Linked DNA regions of Canis lupus familiaris. The protein of the gene in region 3 purifies or fractionates together with the protein of the main gene of each other region. This does not show direct contact. Links are inferred from orthologs where the notes say so. Each region holds a gene or a part of one and is shown on either strand. Other genes may lie near its edges.

Region 1 (5,942 bases), about 52 Mb from region 3:
GAATTGTACATGGGCATGAGTGCTCTTATTGGGATGATGGAAATGTGCTAAAACTGGATTAGAGATACAGGCACAAGTTCTTAAAATTACTAAAGGGGAGCCTGGCTGGCTCAGTCAGTAGAGCATGTGACTCTTGACCTCAGGATTGTAGGTTCAAGCTCCACATTGGGTGCAGAAATTACCTAAAACTAAAATCTTCCACTCTCACCACTGCTATTCAACATAGTACCAGAAGTCCTAGCAAAAAAAATTAAAAAAAAAACAAAAAAAACAAAAACTAAAATCTTAAAAAAAAAAAGACCCTTTAAATTACCAAATGTCATTGATTTCTAAACAGGTTAATTCTATAGTATGTAATACCTCAATAAATTTTTGAAAAATATACCTAGATGGATCACAACTTGTAAAAAATAATTAGCTATGTAAAGCATTTTATACTTTAGAAGAAGTATAGCACATCAATTAAAAAAAAAAGAAGTACTAGCACATCAATTTTGACTTCATTGTAGTAATACGAACTTTTAAAATAAGTATTTGAGTTAAAAAGATGAGTTAATTTAAATAGTTGATTTGAACGAGTTATTTTACTTAATTCATTCACAGATTTAAGTTAACTAGAAATGACGATACTAACAAACTGGAATTTTTTGTAAACACTAATCTGGGTCATTGATTCCTAGGTGATAAGACCCCAACTCTATGTGCTTGTGTGTGTGCGTAGTTGTGTATTTTAATCCCAGGATCAGATGTAAAGATTAAATGGGATAAATGTTGATGAGAGGCTATATAAATTGCCAGTGTTGTACAAACACAAGAATGGCCTACCTAAATTGTTTCTACTTTAACAAAAAGAAATCCTAACTGGCTTATGACAGATAAGAGACTCTCCAGGTGGGGCAGAAGTAATTTAACAGGCCGTCCAGCTTCTTTCCTCCCGGGTTTCAACTTCTCTGATTTCTTTCTTCTGCAAACATTACCGCATGCCCACTAGGTGATATAGGTCCTTATTCTTGATCTTCCAGAAGGGCCTAGCTGTCCTCCTTCTGGTCTCCCCCTTCTTCTTCCAAGTCAAGGTGTTCTATCTATAAAAAACGTCCTGCCTGCATGGGGGGGGGGGCACCCCCAACCCTTTTTCTGGTTGCATTTGGCACAGCTGAAATGAACTGTTATTTGTGAAACTTTTCCAGGTATTAAGAGAGACCCTCACCTCCCACCCCCCACCAGCCAAAGTACAGTCAAGTAGTCAAGTTTTTAAATTACAGAATTACAGATTGGAAGACTGGGAGAAGAAAAAAAAGAAAAAAGAAAGAAAAAAGAAAAAACTACTCTCTCCTCTCCAGCTGGATTTCAGTTCCTAAACTTCTGCTTCTCACACCCTTGTTCTAAGGAAGTGAGCCTTTCCCACCTTTCAAGAATACAATGAGGGCTCAGTGGCATGTAAGCCCCAAGCCCAAGTGAACAAAGCAGCCACTATATTCTGTCTTCATCCCCATAGAAACCTGGAGCACCCTCTTTCCTCTGATTCCCACAGGGTCAAGGTTGGTTTATTTTCAGCAGATGGGTGGCGAGGTTATTGTTATTTATTGCCACTGTCCTGATGTTAGTTTGGCTAAGTAATAAACCGAGGGTCCTTCTGGGGCATGGAACCTTCCACGGAGCTCTCTGTGCTTCGGCTAATCAACCAGATTTTGCAAAGGCCACGAAAAAAAAAAAAAAAAATCAGGCCTGCGCCGACCTCTCCCGGCCTCCGAGGCGAGGGCCGAGCGCCCTCCCGAGGGCCTGCTCCACCTCCCGCCAACTCGGAAAGCGCCTGCGGAGCAGAGGGGGGCCCCGCTTGCACCCAAAGGGGAGAAGAAACAGCTCGGCAGCCGACGGCAGAGCCGACATTGACACCTGTTCAGGCGGACTTAGGTGAATCTCCCTCTTGACTCCTAATTCCTTAAGTGGAATCGCCCCTAAGCACGAGTAAGGACTGCGCTCGAACCCCCGGCGGGGAGGGAGCGGGGCGGTGGAGGGTGCGCCTTCGGGGGTGCGGGCTTTGCAGCCCCCGCCGGGCCCGGGCTGTCTCCGTGTTTGAACTCGGCCCGCCCTAGAGTCACCGCGAGAACCCCCCCAGGTCGTCGAGCTGGCTCGCGCCGCAGCACAGCAAGTCAAGGCAACGCAATAGGAAGATTGAAAAAAAAAACGCGAAGCACGTGGCACCCAGAAGCTCACTTTTGTTGGCCCCTCTCCCGACCCGTAGCCGCGCCCTATTATGACCACGTGGGAGGCTCGCTCTATAAAAGCCGGGCTCGGAGCGTCCCGTCGCCACAGTCGCTTCCTGTTCTTGGCGCGTCGGTCGGCTCGTCGCTGAGGCCGCGGGGGCCGTGAAGATGGCGTCTACCAGCCGGTTAGTACGTCCGGCCGAGCCGCGCTCGCTGAGGGGCGGGCGGAGAGTGCCAGAGTGGGCAGGCGGGCCCCGGGGGGCCGTGTCGGGCAGAGCGTTCCGGAGGTGCGGGGGGAGGCGGTGGACTGGCTGGCCGAGCCGGACAAAGGCGCTTCCAGACGGCAGGGCTGTCAGGGGCGGCTCAGGGGCTGCCGACCGCGGCGCTCCCACAGCGGCGGTACCACCCGACGTCCTGGCTCGTGAGCTCATCCGGCCGCCACCCTGTGAGGGCCGCTGTGTCCCCAGCCCCCCCTCGTTTCGCGTCTTTTTTTGGGGGTGGGTGGGGGGGGGTGGATATCTTAACTGTGGTGTTTTTGTTTTTGTTTTTTTTGTGTGTGTTAATTTTTTTCTACGCTTGTTTTTCCAGCTGTGGCTCAACCAGCCCACGATCCTTTCCAAAAAGCGGGAAAGGGTTAGTTCCAGGCCCCTGTCGATCTGACAGCTGTAGAGTTAGGGACGTCAGCCCGAGGGGAACTGATTACCGTCCCAGAGGCCTTCCGAAATGGAAGCTGGGGGCGTTTCCGAAGAGTTGAGAAGTTCCCTTCTAAGAGGTTTATATTTTTACAGAGGTCTTCTGCATTCTCCTGAAGAAAATCTTGCCTGCAGACAATTGCTTACATACGCTGGGAAGTTACTAAGTCTTTTTTTTTTTTTTTTTTTTAACACTAAGATATTTTTTTTTTTAATGTGATATACTCCTATCTACAGGAAATAAGTGCAGTGCCCTTAAAGACAGCCTTTAATCCTGTGGTCCGAAAAAAATGTTTGTAGACCCTAATTAAGTCTCTCATTACCACTACGAGGTAGATATTAGTATTTTTGCATAAGTGTAAACTGAGTCATGCCGGTGTTGACTTTTCCAAGGTCAGTGTCAGAACAGAGTGTAGAATCCCTTATCAGTTTCCTGTTACCACGCAGCTGGCCTCTAGTTAGCTCATAATGTATTGAAAGTGTCAAGTTCTATAGCTTCTGGGGAGGTAACTGGCATAATTTTTTTGAATTTGTTATCCTCTGTGAGAATTGAGTTCCCAGTAAAAGCCAGTATCACAAAACAGCAAACTGGAGAAGTCCGGGCCCTTTTGTGGTACTGCTAAGACTTACTGCTTTATGTTACTGTACTTTTTAAGGGGGGAAAAAAAAACGGTGTTGGGGGAGGCAGTGTTAGCTAAAACAACTTGGAAACCACTCAAAGCCAGGGACACTCTTGTTTACTGATTGTACTTCTGTGATTGAATACTCAATCATTCGGTCTGGGTGTGGCTCTGTTGGGAAAGGCTTTTCTTGTAGGTAAGTGGAAAACTTGAGCTTCCTGAAGACACCTAACTACCACGTCTTAGGGCAGTAGATCTGAAAAGTAAATGTGGTCACACTTGGGCACAGCTTTTCCATAGGATAGGACAGGAATTTTGTAAGAAAAATTTGCAACAGTTAACTGTAGTTAAGTTCATGTGCTAGATTCTTTATCAAAAGAATACACTTACCATTGTGTGTCTCTATTTTCTTCATTTGTTAAAAAATAATTTTTGAAATAAATTGTTTCTGGACACGTCCAGGTCTTAAATCTATGTGTCATTGAGTTGTCCATCTCTAAATTTTCTACGGGTGAGAACAAAGGTAAAATGTTAGTATTTCTGCCTTTTAGTTTGTTTTTTTTTTTCCCCCCTTGAGGGAGAATAGTTACTAGATTATGAAACTGCCTGGTGTTTTCACAGAGAAAAACACAAATGTTGTGAGTTCAAGTCTAAACTCCACCATTTTTCTGTAATTTCAGGCTAATCGTTTTGTAAGCTTAATCTTTAGAAGGGAAATAACCTTTATTTTGCAGGGTTGCTATGAAAATGAATAATAAGTGTAGCACTAGGCACACAGTGGGGACCCAATAAGTGATCGTTATAAAGTGAGATTTGGGTTTATCTGGCTCCTTAGGTACTCTGAATTGTTTTAATGTCTTGGGTGGTTGTTTACTCCATTCTTTCTCTTTCATTTCTCTCTCTCCCTTCCCCCACTGCCCTACTCTTGTGGCTCCTTTTTGATTACTCTTGTGGATATTCTAATTAAAGTTGACTGCTGTATCATGATTCATTTTATTTTTTTTATTTTTTTATTTTTTTTATTTTTTAATATTTTATTTATTTATTCATGAGATACACAGAGAGAGAAGAGAGAGGCAGAGACACAGGCAGAGGGAGAAGCAGGCTCTACGCAGGGAGCCCGACATGGGACTCGACCCAGGTCTCCAGGATCACACCCTGGGCCGCAGGCGGTGCTAAACCACTGCACCACCAGGGCTGCCCCTCATGATTCATTTTATTTTGGATACGTAACACACAGTAGTACAAAAACAAAAGTGAAAAGAAGTTTCTTGCCTAGCTCTCAGCCATCTAATTCTCCCCTGAAAGCAGCCATCATAACCAGTTTCTTGGTGTTTTCCTAATAGTTTAACAAACTTGTTTAACAGTGCCAATCTCTCTTGTTCCCCCAAAGTCCATTGTAAACAGTTTGCTACCTTTTTACCATTTTTGTGAAGTTAGCACACATTTTAGGTGCACAGTTCAGTTAAAAATGAGCGCATAGACATAGCTACCACCCCAGTCAAGAAATTAATTGCCACTGGCACCCTGGAAGCCTCCTTGTGCCCTCAGCCATTACCCCCTTTCCAAACATAACCATATCCCAACTTCTAATACCATAGATTTATTTTGCCCACTTTAAGGTTTATATAAGTGGTTTGTTTTCCTCTGCCTACTTTCTTTTGATCAGTATTTTTGAGAATCATCTTTGTTACTGCATATAACTGTTATCATACTTTTTCTAGTTTTGTATAAAATCCCTATGGGTGCCTAGGTGGCTCAGTCGGGTAAGCGTCCAACTCACGGTTTCAGCTTAGGTCTTGGTCTCCTGGTTGTGTGATTGAGCCCTACATCAGACTCTGTGCTCAGTGCAGGGTTAGCTTCAGATTGTCCCTCTCTCTCTCAAATAAAATCTTTAAGAAAAAAAATCTCTAACTTTTTTCACTTAGCATATCTTTGAGATATTTATATATCATTTATATGCATACATACAAGATAATTCTACTTTTTAATAGTGCAAAATATATGGCCTTATCTTTGTATGCTTTGTGCCGTATGGCTGCCTATTTGTAATTATTGTTACTCTGTTAAGATTTTCCTTTATTTCAACATAGTTTTTCATAAGTCATACTAACCTCTTAATTTATGTCATAATTTTTAAAATATTTTCCTAATATGAATTTATAAAACAAACTTCTATTCCCCCATTTCCCAATGAACAGATCCAAGACATGTTCTGGTTAACTTGAATTTATACATTTTGGGATGTGGATTATTTTATCAGTTATTCAGTGGGAATCACCTATGTTGAGAGTTGATATTCTGAATTATATTTGCTGATGTTAGAAAAATTTACCCGAACCACAACTATCTGTTTGCTTACTGTAAGAATGTTTAATAATGTCTTTTAGATGTATATTTGCGATGGCCGTAATTTAACCTTGTGC
Region 2 (5,700 bases), about 50 Mb from region 3:
ACTGACTCAGCCAGCCTCCTAAATATTATCTTACTTAATATCTGGTTTTCCATATATATCTGGCTTAAGAAAGAGAAAGTGCGGATTACCAAAAATGAGTATCTAGGTTGCCTGATACTTACAGTACTAAATGTAAATCAATAATAATCCAAATGCCACTTTTGATCCCTAAAGCAGAAATAATCCTTGCTCTTTTAAAGCACTTTACTCAAACTATATCTATTATTTCACTTATTCTGCCCTCTTGCTAGTTGTTTACATGATTATCTCTTCCACCAGACTATAAGCACCTTCAAGTGTATGAATAGCCCTAAGCCCTTTTTTGTTTTCCATGTTCCTACTGTAGAAATTTGATTCTTAAATGTTTGATGAATGAGTGGATAAACAATAGCATCATGTGGCTATTATCTTCCTAGTAAAGACTAAAAAATACTCATAAAGATTGCACTTACCTTATTCTTTTCATTTTGAATAATCTCTAGTAGCTGCTCTATGTGCCCTTCATCTATGCATCTTTGGCCTGCTAATTGAAATAGGCCAAAATCTTCTTCTTTGAAGTCTTGTTCTTCTAGGATTTGCTGACAAAAACAAAATGAAGACAAAACGTTTGGTGAATAAAAAATTCAATAACTACTTGATTTATTCTCTCTGGAAATAAAAAGGAAATGTGTTTGAATTCTGAGTAAGTTGCACATTAGCATATGTGTGAAAATTAGGATAAGCCTGAAAAAGTAGTTTAATGATCTTGAAATCCACACTGCCAAAAAAAATTCTACAATAAAGATCAATATTAAAAATTTTAAAGGTTAAAAAAAAAAAATGTTAAAGGTTAGACAAGTAGGTCACTTGGAGAGATAATCCAATCTGCCTTCTGGCCCTCCTGCTATTTATTCACCGGTCAAACAAAGCAAGGATTAGAGAAGATAAGCAATTTGAGTGACCCTAAGTATAACTAGAAATAATCTTGCATTTAACTTTACAAGAAGAAAAATTACTTACACATCTCATTATTATGGACTGAAGTTCTTCCACAGCCATTCCTCGTTATTTTTCCTAGTTTTTATGCTGAAATATAAAACAGTTAACTATCAGTGATATTACAGTATTAATGAGTTATGTTTCATTCTGATGAATTATCAGTAAATACAATAAGGAAAATACGACATTTTAAAGCTGAAATATTTTGACTTAAAAGTATTTTAGCCTAAGGAGTAAAAAACTGTTGCATCTTTTAGGTTTTCTAGAATAGTTTTGAAAGATCTACCTGAAAAAAAAAAAAAAAATCCTCCTGGGTACGCCCAAACAGGAGCGCAAATATCGGCTACGTAAATGGCTTTAAAAAGGCTAAGTATTTCTTTTCTGAAAAAATTTCCCAAAAGTGTTCCTGAAATCAGTTCTAGTCATTAGGGAATCTTAAAAAATGCTTCAATGTCCCACTTGACAAACACTGGCGCCTACACAACTCACCCCAGAGCGGGTGAAAGTTCCGATGCCCACAGTCCCAAGTGCGACCCGGACGTTCTTCTGTAAGCGATGCGGTCCCCCAGTCACCCAGCTGGTGTAACCGCCAGGCCGCACGGACGCGACGCAACCGGCAGCTCCCGGGGGAACACGGCTCGGCTCCCGCAGGCGCCGTGGGCCCAGCGGCAAGACCCTGCCCCAGGCCCGCAGCGGGAGCTGGGTCAGCCGGGTCCCCGCGGCCGCGCGCTCCAGAGCGGATAAAAGCCCAGCGCGCGTGCGGACTGCATCCAAAGGAAGCCATTTCTCCCGATTCCTGCGGGCCTAGGCGTTCGGGCCCACGACCTCGTGGGGCCTTGCGGGCCGCGGCGCCGGCTCCCCCGCGGCTCGCAGCTGGCCCCGAGCCCCGGCCACCCCCGCCGCCCGGGCGCGTCCACTTACCGCCGGGCCTCTCGCCGCTCTCGGCGGCTTCCCCCACCTCCTCCGGCCGCGCAGGCCTCTCCGGGCCCCGCCCCTCCCCGGCCGGCCCCGCCCCGCGCTAGCGACGGGGGGCGGAGCCTCGGGGGGAGACGCCGGGTCCCGGGCTGACCTTCTGACGCGTTTCCCATGGCTGACTCCGCCGGGCCGCGCTCGCCCGGCCTCAAGGCTCGGACGCCCCGCGCTTCCCGAAACGCCTCAGGTAAGAAGGGCCCTGAGAACCGAGCCCCTCGAGTGTTCCACACGGAGGCGCGCGGGACACACCCGGAAGACTGCTCCGGGGCAGAGAAGGCCCAGAGCGGCCCATCCCCGGCCTCGGGTCTTCTGGGAAAGACCTCCACACCCTCACCTCTTCACACCGGTGTTCCAAGATTTGCCCCAGAACCGGTCTCTGAGGGAAAGGGAGTAGAGGAGCTGGAGTCTAGAGCTGGCTCGCCAGAAAGGGCAAGCGACCGGGGCAGCCCAGCTTGGACATGCACTCCTGCTTTAGCTCCGGGTCCTCTGAGGCGTCACCCCACCCCTGCTCTTTCCCTGTGAGCGAACATTCGGGGGAACATTTCGAGTTGCCTACACCTCAGATTTGCAGGAGCCCCCGTGACCATGCAGCTGTTTTACATGAGAAAATTCAATCCCCGAGGAGATACATTTTAACCAAGAAGAATTCGGGAATAATTAGCAAACTGAATTCCGCTTGCCCATTTCATTTGTTTTGCAAACGGGATTGGAAAGTAACGTGTGGGGAAGAAAGAAGAGAGGTTGTCTGCAGTTTCAGTAGGAATCTGTCCTGTAAACTAGTGTGTTTCCGAAGACTTGAACTCCACAATAATTTTATTATTATAAATATAAAATATTTTTATTATTATTGTAGGTGCTAAACAGACGAATGCTTTAAAACAAGAAGATGCTTCTAAAAGGTAGGAGAACTACTTGGACAACTGCATTAGCTTATCTATTTATCTCATGTTAATTTAACCATTTTTATAAACAAGAATGGGAGATACTTAAAAAAAAATTATGCGAAACAAAGAGAGGATCAGAAAAGCACTATAATTTCTCATATATAGACTCATTATATCTCTCTACTCCAGGCTTTAAGAAAACCAAATCAAGACACTTTTAGATTGCTGGTGAAGGTATGAGTATCTGTAGAAAGATGTCTAAGGGAATAAACATTCTTCAGTTAAGCAGGTACTCCTTTTCCACCTCTTCAGGTACACTTGCCTTTTATTACTTTATATACCAGAGACTCCAAGAAACCTTTACTGTTCTTCGTTTACATTATGTCCATATTTTCAGCAAAAAAAGTCCTATTCTGTTGCTTGGCATCTCCTAAACAGACTAGATTTACCTCCTGTCACAAAGTTTCTAGAATAGGAGTAGTTTATGAGAATGATTTAAATACATAGGTCAATATTTTATTCTTAAAAATAAAAAAAAAAGATTTATTGGGATACCTGGGTGGCTCAGCAGTTGAGCATCTGCCTGTGGTTCAGGGCATGATCCTGGAATCCAGGATCAAGTCCCATATCAGGCTCCCTGCATGGAGCCTGCTTCTCCCTCTGCCTGTGTCTCTGCCCCCCCCCCCCCCCACCGCCCGGGGTGTGTGTGTGTGTGTGTGTGTGTGTGTGTGTGTGTGTGTATGTATGTCTCTCTCATGAATAAATAAAATAAAATCTTAAAAATATGTTTATTCATTTTAGAGAGTGAGCAAGTACATGTGTGGGATGCAGGTGAAGAGGGAGTAGAAGAAGAGGGAAAAGAGAGACTCTAAAGCAGACTCCCCACTGAGTGTGGAGCCTGACTCAGGGCTTGATCTCACAATCCTGAGATCATGATCTAAGCTGAAACCAAGAGTCAGATGCTTAACCACCTGAGCCGCCTAGGGGTTTCAGTGATTTATCCTTTTATATCAGGCAGGTAGTGGCTGTCATTTACTCATTCTTTCAAAAATTATTTACCAAATAGGAGATATGCCAGGCCTGTGTTAAGCCCTGAGGATATGGTTTTGAGCAGAATAGACACAGTTCTTTTCTACTGGAACGGAGAAATACGGATTAAATTGTCACAACTGAATACATAATTATATATTGTGATAAGTGCTATAAAGGAAAAGACTATGAAGTTATCAGATGGAACTAATAGGTGTTCAGATTAGCTGGGGATTCTCGGGGAAAGACTTTGGAGCCCTGAAGGCTAAATAGGCATTAACCAGAGTCCTGAGGAGAGTCCAGCCAGAGATGGCAGTATATATGAAGGCCCTGAGAAGAAAAAGGTCAGTTCAAGGAAAGGAAAGATAACCGTGGTAGTGTATGGCATTTTGAGCAAGGGAAGAAAGGAGCATAGGAAAAACTTAGGATTCCATTCTTAAAGAATCTGGTGGGCCGTGGTGAGAAATTTAGATTTTCTAAATGCAAATATGAAAACATCAAGTAATAGAGTGATGAAATTTAAGTTTAAAAAGTTTTAAGAGGAGTGCCTGGATGGCTCAGTGCTTGAGCATCGCCTTTGGCTTGGGGCGTGATCCCCAGGTTCTGGGAGAGTCCTGCATGGGGCTCCCATGAGGGAGCCTGCTTTTCCCTCTATGTCTCTGCCTCTCTCTGTGTGTCTCTCATGAATAAAAATCTTTAAAAAATTAAAAATAAAAAAATAAAAGTTTTAAGATGTTAGCGATGGTGATCATCTGGGAATAGAGAAATTGGATGGATTTGAGATCAATATTTTTTTAAAGATTTATTTATTTACTTGAGAGAGAGCATGCGAGAAGAAATTTAAAAAATTAACGGGTGGGAGGTACAGAGGGAGAGGGAAAGAGGGCTTTCTGCTGAGCAAGGAACATAGTACGGGGCTCACTACCATGATCCTGAGTGGAAACCAAGAGTTGGACACTTAACCAACTATGCAACCTGAGTGCCCCTTGCGATCTATTTTAGAGAATATTTCCCTGTGGAGTAGCATGACTTGGTTTTATGATACACTGCAAGAGTAAAGTTAATACTGATAATGATGGTAATTTGCAACTTTCTTCAATAGTGTGATCTGACCACAAACCCAAGAAGATTATATTTTATTGTGAGCATCATAGTGTGAGAAGTATAGATACACTGAAATGTATTGGGGGCAAATTACCCAGGATGATGAAGCAATTAAAAATCCATGGGGTGGGATCCCTGGGTGGCGCAGCGGTTTGGCGCCTGCCTTTGGCCCAGGGCGCGATCCTGGAGACCCGGGATCGAATCCCATATCAGGCTCCCGATGCATGGAGCCTGCTTCTCCCTCTGCCTGTGTCTCTGTGCCTCTCTCTCTCTCTCTGTGACTATCATAAGTAAATAAATAAAAATTAAAAAAAAAAAATCCATGGGGTAACTAACCAAATAGTTGTTGAAGGGAATGAACCTTTATAAATCTATGCCCACTGAAAAATACTTCAACATCAATCCAATCAAATACTATTAAGCCAGGAATTAAAGAGCTTTACAAAAATGTAAAATAGTTCTTCTCTTTTCACAAAATACGTAATAGGTTCATTACTACTTTTGTTACATGAATTAATAAGTGCTCTACATTTTTCTCATTTTTAATCCAAATATGGTGAATATCAATACATAAAATCCACATAAGCAGAAGTTCTAATTTTTAGAGTGTAAGGCAATGCTGAGACTGAAAAATTTGAGAACCATTGCTATACACCATACTGTCTGTCATCATTTAGGACCAGAGGGCAACAGTGACAAAGGGCTGTTCATGGGAAGCAGCTTAGGCATCAGT
Region 3 (5,899 bases):
CAGGCACAGAGGCAGGCTCTGCACTTAGGGGCTCAGGGGAAGGTAGGTCCTCCTAGCTGGACTCCCACACTGGCCTAAGTTCCACTCAGGGGTGCTGTGGGTGGGGCCCAGACTGGTGCTGGTGGGTGAGGCCCTGCCTGCTCTGCCCTCATCTGGCATCTGCCTCCAGCCCCCAAGGATCCACTGGCCCAGCTGTTCCAGGTGCTGCAGGACCTCCGGGAGGCCCACAGATCCAGCCCAGCCAGCGTACCGCCCTCGGAGACAAACCGCCTGCTGGAGCTGCAGACGTGAGGCCTGCCCCACATGCCCTCACTGAACCCCCTGCCAGGTGCTCGGAGACCCCCCCCCTGGTGCGCTTTCAGCTCTTCACATCACTCCGTCTCACTGGGGAGCGGGGCTTAGGGCTCTCCTGGGCTGGGTGGATTGGGGGCCAGAGGCCCGTCCTTGCCCACCTGTAGTCTCTAGGGGACTTTGTGAGCTCCTTCTCCTCTATGAAGCCTGGCTGTTCCTCGCAGCCCTTGCAGCCATCGCTGGCACCACCCCACTCTCTCCAGGGGCCCTCTCCTACCCCGGCAGACCTAGCCAGAAACCAACCCTAAGATGGCCCTTGACCAGGTGGACTGATACTCCTTGGACTCACAGAGGTGGGAGGGAACATGGGGCCCACCCAGGAGACCAAGCCTTGACCTCAGCATCCCCTCAGCTCCTGGCCATCACATCACCTGCTCCCCTCCAGCCACTGGCTGGGCCCCCCCGGGAGAGCTTTGCGGTGCTGTTGCTGACAATAAACCTGCTGTGACTGCTTGGGCTCTGGGGTCTTGTGATGGGGGTCAGTAGAGGGACTGGGCTTGGTGTGGATTCCAGTGGCTTCTTGAGTGTGGCCAAGGACCGGAGCCACCAGAATAACCTTCGTGCATCCCCTCTGTTCACCCCCCCACACATCCTGGGAGGACTTGTTTCTTCCCCCAACTGCTGTTCCCACCATACTCCTGGGACCCCTGCTCCATCCCCCCCCAGGCTACAGAGCCTGAACAGTGCCTCACCTTTCCTTCCTGCCCCCAGGTGGCTGAGCCTGCACCCCCCCTCCGCCATCACCAACACCCTGTTCTCTGGCTCCTTCCTTAGGACCTCACACAAATCCTCATGCTTTTTGAATCTCGGTGGGTTTCCAGGACCTTGTGGTCCGGAAGTACAGAGCCCAGGGTCCACTGCACCCTAATGAGAGTGAAGGGGAAAGTAGTGTGCACTACTTATGGGGCTGCCACAGGTAGAAGCCTGGGTTTGAACTGCATACATAGCCCCCCAGTGGTGTCACCGCCCACCCTCTCTTCCAGGAGGGTCCTGGATGGGGTGGCTGCTGCAGCCTGTAGGGGTGACAGTGAAGCAGGGCCTGGCACTGTCCCCACGGCTCATGTACCCCCACACCTCTAGGTTCTGTCAGGCGGGAGTGAGGCCCCTTTGGGGTAAAAACTATACCCCTTCTCTCCACCCCCAGCCAGCCAAGTGGCATCCTAGCTTTGCCCGGATGGCCCAGAAGGGTCGCGGCTACGCCCCTGTGCATCATCCCCTCATGCCTTCTGTTCCTCACCAGTTAAAGCCCCCCCCGTGGAGTCCAGGCTGGTGTGGGCCTCTGGCCAATGGCACCTCCTCACCCCAGGGCCCAAGCTTAAGCAAGGAATAGCCCTTCCCAGGAAATGGAGGCTCCTGGTTTCCCGGGCAGGTCCCCGGCGGCTCCTCAGATGCTGCGGCTACTGGAGCCGACGGGAGACCCAGCTCCTTGCCTCAAACAGCGCAGGTGGGGTCCGTCCACACAACTGCGGTCGGCAAAATAGCAACCAGCAGTGCCAACGCACTCCTCTCGGCCGCCAACCGCCTCCGCCGCCGGGCCGTCTGCCTGGCAAGCAGCTCATCGGCCCCAAGCCCGCTCCGCAAAGGGGCGACCACGCGGGGGAAGGTGGGGGTCGCGGCCGGCGGCCTTCTGGTCCTAGGACCTGACGCCTCCTGCCGGCCCGCACTGCGCCCTGGCTCCATTCTCCACTCGAGGGCCTCGCGCTGGGCCCTCCAAGCGCATTTGCAAAGAAGGATCTTGAGGGGGGGGGCGGCCCCCGGGGCCGCCAACGCCCCCGCCAACGCCTCACGCATGCGCAGAGCCACCAGCGCCTCGGTCCTCCCGGGCTCCTCTCGCCTGCGCTACATCCCCCGGGCCTCCAGGGGGCGAGCGGCCGGCCTCCCCACGGGGGCCGTAACCCGGAAGCAGCCGCTAACCCGGAAGAGGTGGCGTCGTAGAGGGTCCTGCAGGCGTCGGGGGCGGCCCTGCGGCTTCGGCTGCGAGTGCGGCGCTAGGATGAACGCCCCTCCCGCCTTTGAGTCGTTCTTGCTCTTCGAGGGCGAAAAGAAGTAAGTGGAGCTGGCGGGGGCGAGCCTGGGGTCCGTCCAGTAGCGGGAGACGGAAGCCTCTGTGTCCGCCAGATTCGAGCCAGCCCTGCCGGGCGGTGGCGACCGACCCCCTTCCGCAGATGCGGAAACTGAAGCTCAGAGAGCCAAGGAGCTGCCCCGGCCCTCGGGGAGTGGCGGTGTGCGTGGCGCCAGAGTGCTTCCCCCCGGGATCCGGCAGCCCCCTCGCTCGCGTGCCTGGCCGCCGCCTCCTGCGGCTGCAGCGGGGTCCGGCTCTCAGGCTCTCGTCCCGCCTTCGCTGGCCTCCGGAGAACCTCCAGCGGCTTCTTGCCCGCGGGGTGCAGGCGGTGTAGTCTTGCTGTCTCTCAGCCTGGGCTTGGCTCCTGGCTCCCCCACTTAACGTCTCCGTGTCTTTGGGCAGGTGGCTTAGCCTGCCTGAGGCCTGCTTTCCTCATCTGGAAAATGGGCTTCTTGCTCTGTTAAATCACAGGATTTTCTCAAAGGGGAGCTTGAGATGATTTACGGGAAGTGCTTAGGCCAAGGCTCAGCACACAAAAGACTGTCTTAAACGTCGGCTTTTCCTTCTCTTAACAGCCTGGTGTGCGGGGCTCTATGTCTAGCCCTTGCCAGCCACTTCGTCTCCCTTGGGAGCAGTGGTTGGCAACTAGGGGCTATTTTGCTCCCCAGGGGACTTTTGGCAACGTCTGCAGACACTTTCGTCACATAGGGGCTGCTGCTGGCAGCTAGTGAATAGAGACCAGGGATACTGCTCATATCCTGCAATGTACAAGACCACCCCCTGCGGGAAAGAATGATCCACCCTAAGATGTCACTGGTGCCAAGGAGCAATCCAGAGTAGGTGAGGGTCCCGCAGAATCGGGGCATAGCCACTCTGCTGCTCTGAGTCAGAGGTCTTTATGGATGAAGAGATGGAGGAAGGCTTCGAGGTGGAAGTGGGGCTTAAGCCTGAGTTAAAGGGCAGGATTTATCCTGGGGGGAGGAGGAGAGCCCCGTTTCCCATCTGTTGCTACCACCTCTTCCTAGGATTACCATTAACAAGGACACCAAGGTACCCAATGCCTGTTTGTTTACCATCAACAAAGAAGACCACACACTAGGAAACATCATCAAATCGTAAGTTCCGAGTCAGAGGCTCTCAGGCAACGTTTAATGGGGCTCTTTGAGGCAAAGCACACGTCCCAGATTTCCCGAAGTCTCTCTGAGCTGCCGGAAGGTCTGGGTGCTTGTTCTGGCAATTCACACGTTTCAGTACGTTTTCCCCAAAATGCTGCTGCCCTGGATCTGTTCCCACAGCTGTATTTCTGTACTGGTTCATTTATCCGATGAAAGGAAGTGAACGTGTGGCAAAGCCAGAGAAACCTAGGCCGACTTGCCAGAGATTGGAACTTATTAGAATGAGGGGAGAAGGTGGGGGAGAGGCTCTGTGATTATCCGATGCTCATGTTGGTTAGCAGGTGTGTAAGTACATTAGCGAGGTCCTGGCCAGGTAAGTGGTCAGTGATGTGGTTGCTGTTTGGGCTCAAGGGCTTTTGTCAGAAAAGCACCATGGGTGAATCTAGGTCTTTCCGAGGGTCATGTGTTTGAGACCACTGGGCAGGAGCCCACCTCACCTCTGGGCTGAAAGTAGGAGGTGGGGCTGGCTCTCTCCAGTCTGGCTGGCCCCACCCTGAGCCATGCCGGTGCTGCTCCCAGGCCCTTCTGCTCCCCTACTCTGGGAGGCATGTCCCCACCTGTGCAAGAGCCTTCCCTCTTGGTGCCTGCTGCTGACTGAGCTGCTCCAGAGAATCCCCCGCGGGCCCAGGGCAGAGCATGGCATGCACACTTCACCTCACAGCCAGGCACAACGGGTCCCAGGTGTGTGGGCAGCAGCGTTGACCAAAGGGCTTCCGTTTCACTAAGCACTCAGAGCCTGAGCCTTTCCTGCTGTGCCAGACGCTCTTACTGGGCCAGAACCAGCACATTGTGTTCTGGTTACTGAGCACTGGCTGCCTGGGGAGGGCTCTTTGGTGCTGTTGCAGGCCCCCGACTTCCCCTGAGGGAAGTTTGCTGGAAATCCTCTTTACCAGCTGGGGTCCTGGATCCTCATGGATGTAGGGGTGGGGGGAGGAGGGAGGTGTCCTCATGAGGCAGATGTTCCAGATGTTTTACTTGGAGATATCTTTGGGAAATCAAGAGCAGGAAAGCAGCTGGAGTCAGCCATCTCCTCCCTGCCCCACCCCCCTCGCTTCTAGGCCTCAAGCCAGTGGGAAGGCTCCTTGGTTAGAGGCCTGGTGGTCCCAGGTGCTAGGCCCAGCCCCCATGTCACACTGCCCATTTCCTGATCTCAGACAGCTGCTGAAGGACCCCCAGGTGCTGTTTGCTGGCTACAAAGTCCCCCACCCCCTGGAGCACAAGATCATCATTCGAGTGCAGACCACACCAGACTACAGCCCCCAGGAGGCCTTCACCAACGCCATCACAGACCTCATCAGCGAGCTGTCCCTGCTGGAAGAGCGATTCCGGGTGAGGAGCCGGGCGGCGAGGGGTGTTTGCATGCTAGCCAGTATGGCCAGAGCTGTTCTGATGCCCACACCGACAACCCCTGGGTAGTTTCCGGATTTATTGTGGGGTGGGGGCACGTGGTGACTGAGCAGCAGTGCCACTACAGCCTTGAACGAGCTTGGACTAAGGGGTTTTAACAGAGTTGAGGTCGGGGGCCTGCTATCTGCAGGCATGGGTGGGAACTGTACTGAGTGCTCCAGGGTCTCCTTGGGACTGCTCCCCCAAGCCTTCTCTGGTTAAGGCCTGGCTGCTTCCAGGTATCTATCTGTACATGGGGCAGCTCATCCCAGGCAGGGTGGGGTCCCACAGTTGAGGCCGAAAGGGGATGGTCCCACCTGTCCACGCAGAGGGCCTTAAAGTCTGACTTGGGTGTCAAGTGGGAAAGATCCACAGCTTCTCAGGCAGATGGGTGGGGTGTGCTCAGAAGGCCCTGGGGTTGCTGACAGGACAGCAGGGCCCGGGCAGACCTCGGGTCACTGGGGCTGCTTTCCCACTAAGCAGCTGCCCCCTCCCTCTCCGCTCAGGTGGCTATTAAAGACAAGCAAGAAGGCATCGAATAGTGGGCTGGAGGAGTCTTGTTTGGCTGGTTCCTACCCTGCACTGGAACCTTCTCCGGGCTTCCAGTAGAGGCGAGCAGCTTCCCTGGCTTCAGGGACATCTTGTTGAGCTCCTCCCCCCAGAGTTGGTGTGTCCTGTACACGGAGTGTTTTACCTTCCTAATAAAGACCTGGCTATGGGAAGCAGTGGACCTGCTCAGTTTCACAGCGGACAGGCCCTGGGCCCCCGACTCCTAGACCGACAACCTGGAGCCTGGGAGGGCAGGGGTGGCCTGAGAGGCATGCTTTAGGAGTCTGTTCAGAGCTCAAGGTAGGAACACCAGGGGAGCCACAAACAGCTCTCCAGCCTTCCCTCAGACAGCAGAGAGTTTATTAATAAAATATAT

The links. Proteins that work in one complex are often made in the same cells at the same time.
Region 1: the proteins of POLR2J (region 3) and GTF2B purify together in Homo sapiens (affinity purification with mass spectrometry; 3 studies listed by BioGRID and IntAct, with this or other methods). This does not show direct contact. The link is inferred for Canis lupus familiaris from reciprocal best matches to the Homo sapiens genes POLR2J and GTF2B.
Region 2: the proteins of POLR2J (region 3) and RPAP2 purify together in Homo sapiens (affinity purification with mass spectrometry; 5 studies listed by BioGRID and IntAct, with this or other methods). This does not show direct contact. The link is inferred for Canis lupus familiaris from reciprocal best matches to the Homo sapiens genes POLR2J and RPAP2.

Annotation. Positions count from the first base shown.
Region 1 is NC_049227.1:60,007,570-60,013,511, forward strand, and holds the start of GTF2B (transcription initiation factor IIB), read left to right. Parts: upstream 1-2,230; 5' UTR 2,231-2,372; coding exon 2,373-2,389; intron 2,390-5,942. UniProt on the Homo sapiens protein: General transcription factor that plays a role in transcription initiation by RNA polymerase II (Pol II). Involved in the pre-initiation complex (PIC) formation and Pol II recruitment at promoter DNA.
Region 2 is NC_049227.1:57,136,996-57,142,695, reverse strand, and holds the start of RPAP2 (putative RNA polymerase II subunit B1 CTD phosphatase RPAP2), read left to right. Parts: upstream 1-1,988; 5' UTR 1,989-2,064; coding exon 2,065-2,137; intron 2,138-2,803; coding exon 2,804-2,849; intron 2,850-5,700. Other genes in the region: GLMN (glomulin), read right to left, coding at 453-578, 1,000-1,038.
Region 3 is NC_049227.1:7,620,648-7,626,546, forward strand, and holds POLR2J (DNA-directed RNA polymerase II subunit RPB11-a), read left to right. Parts: upstream 1-2,239; 5' UTR 2,240-2,344; coding exon 2,345-2,397; intron 2,398-3,438; coding exon 3,439-3,528; intron 3,529-4,742; coding exon 4,743-4,917; intron 4,918-5,480; coding exon 5,481-5,516; 3' UTR 5,517-5,696; downstream 5,697-5,899. Other genes in the region: RASA4B (ras GTPase-activating protein 4B), read left to right, coding at 170-458. UniProt on the Homo sapiens protein: Core component of RNA polymerase II (Pol II), a DNA-dependent RNA polymerase which synthesizes mRNA precursors and many functional non-coding RNAs using the four ribonucleoside triphosphates as substrates.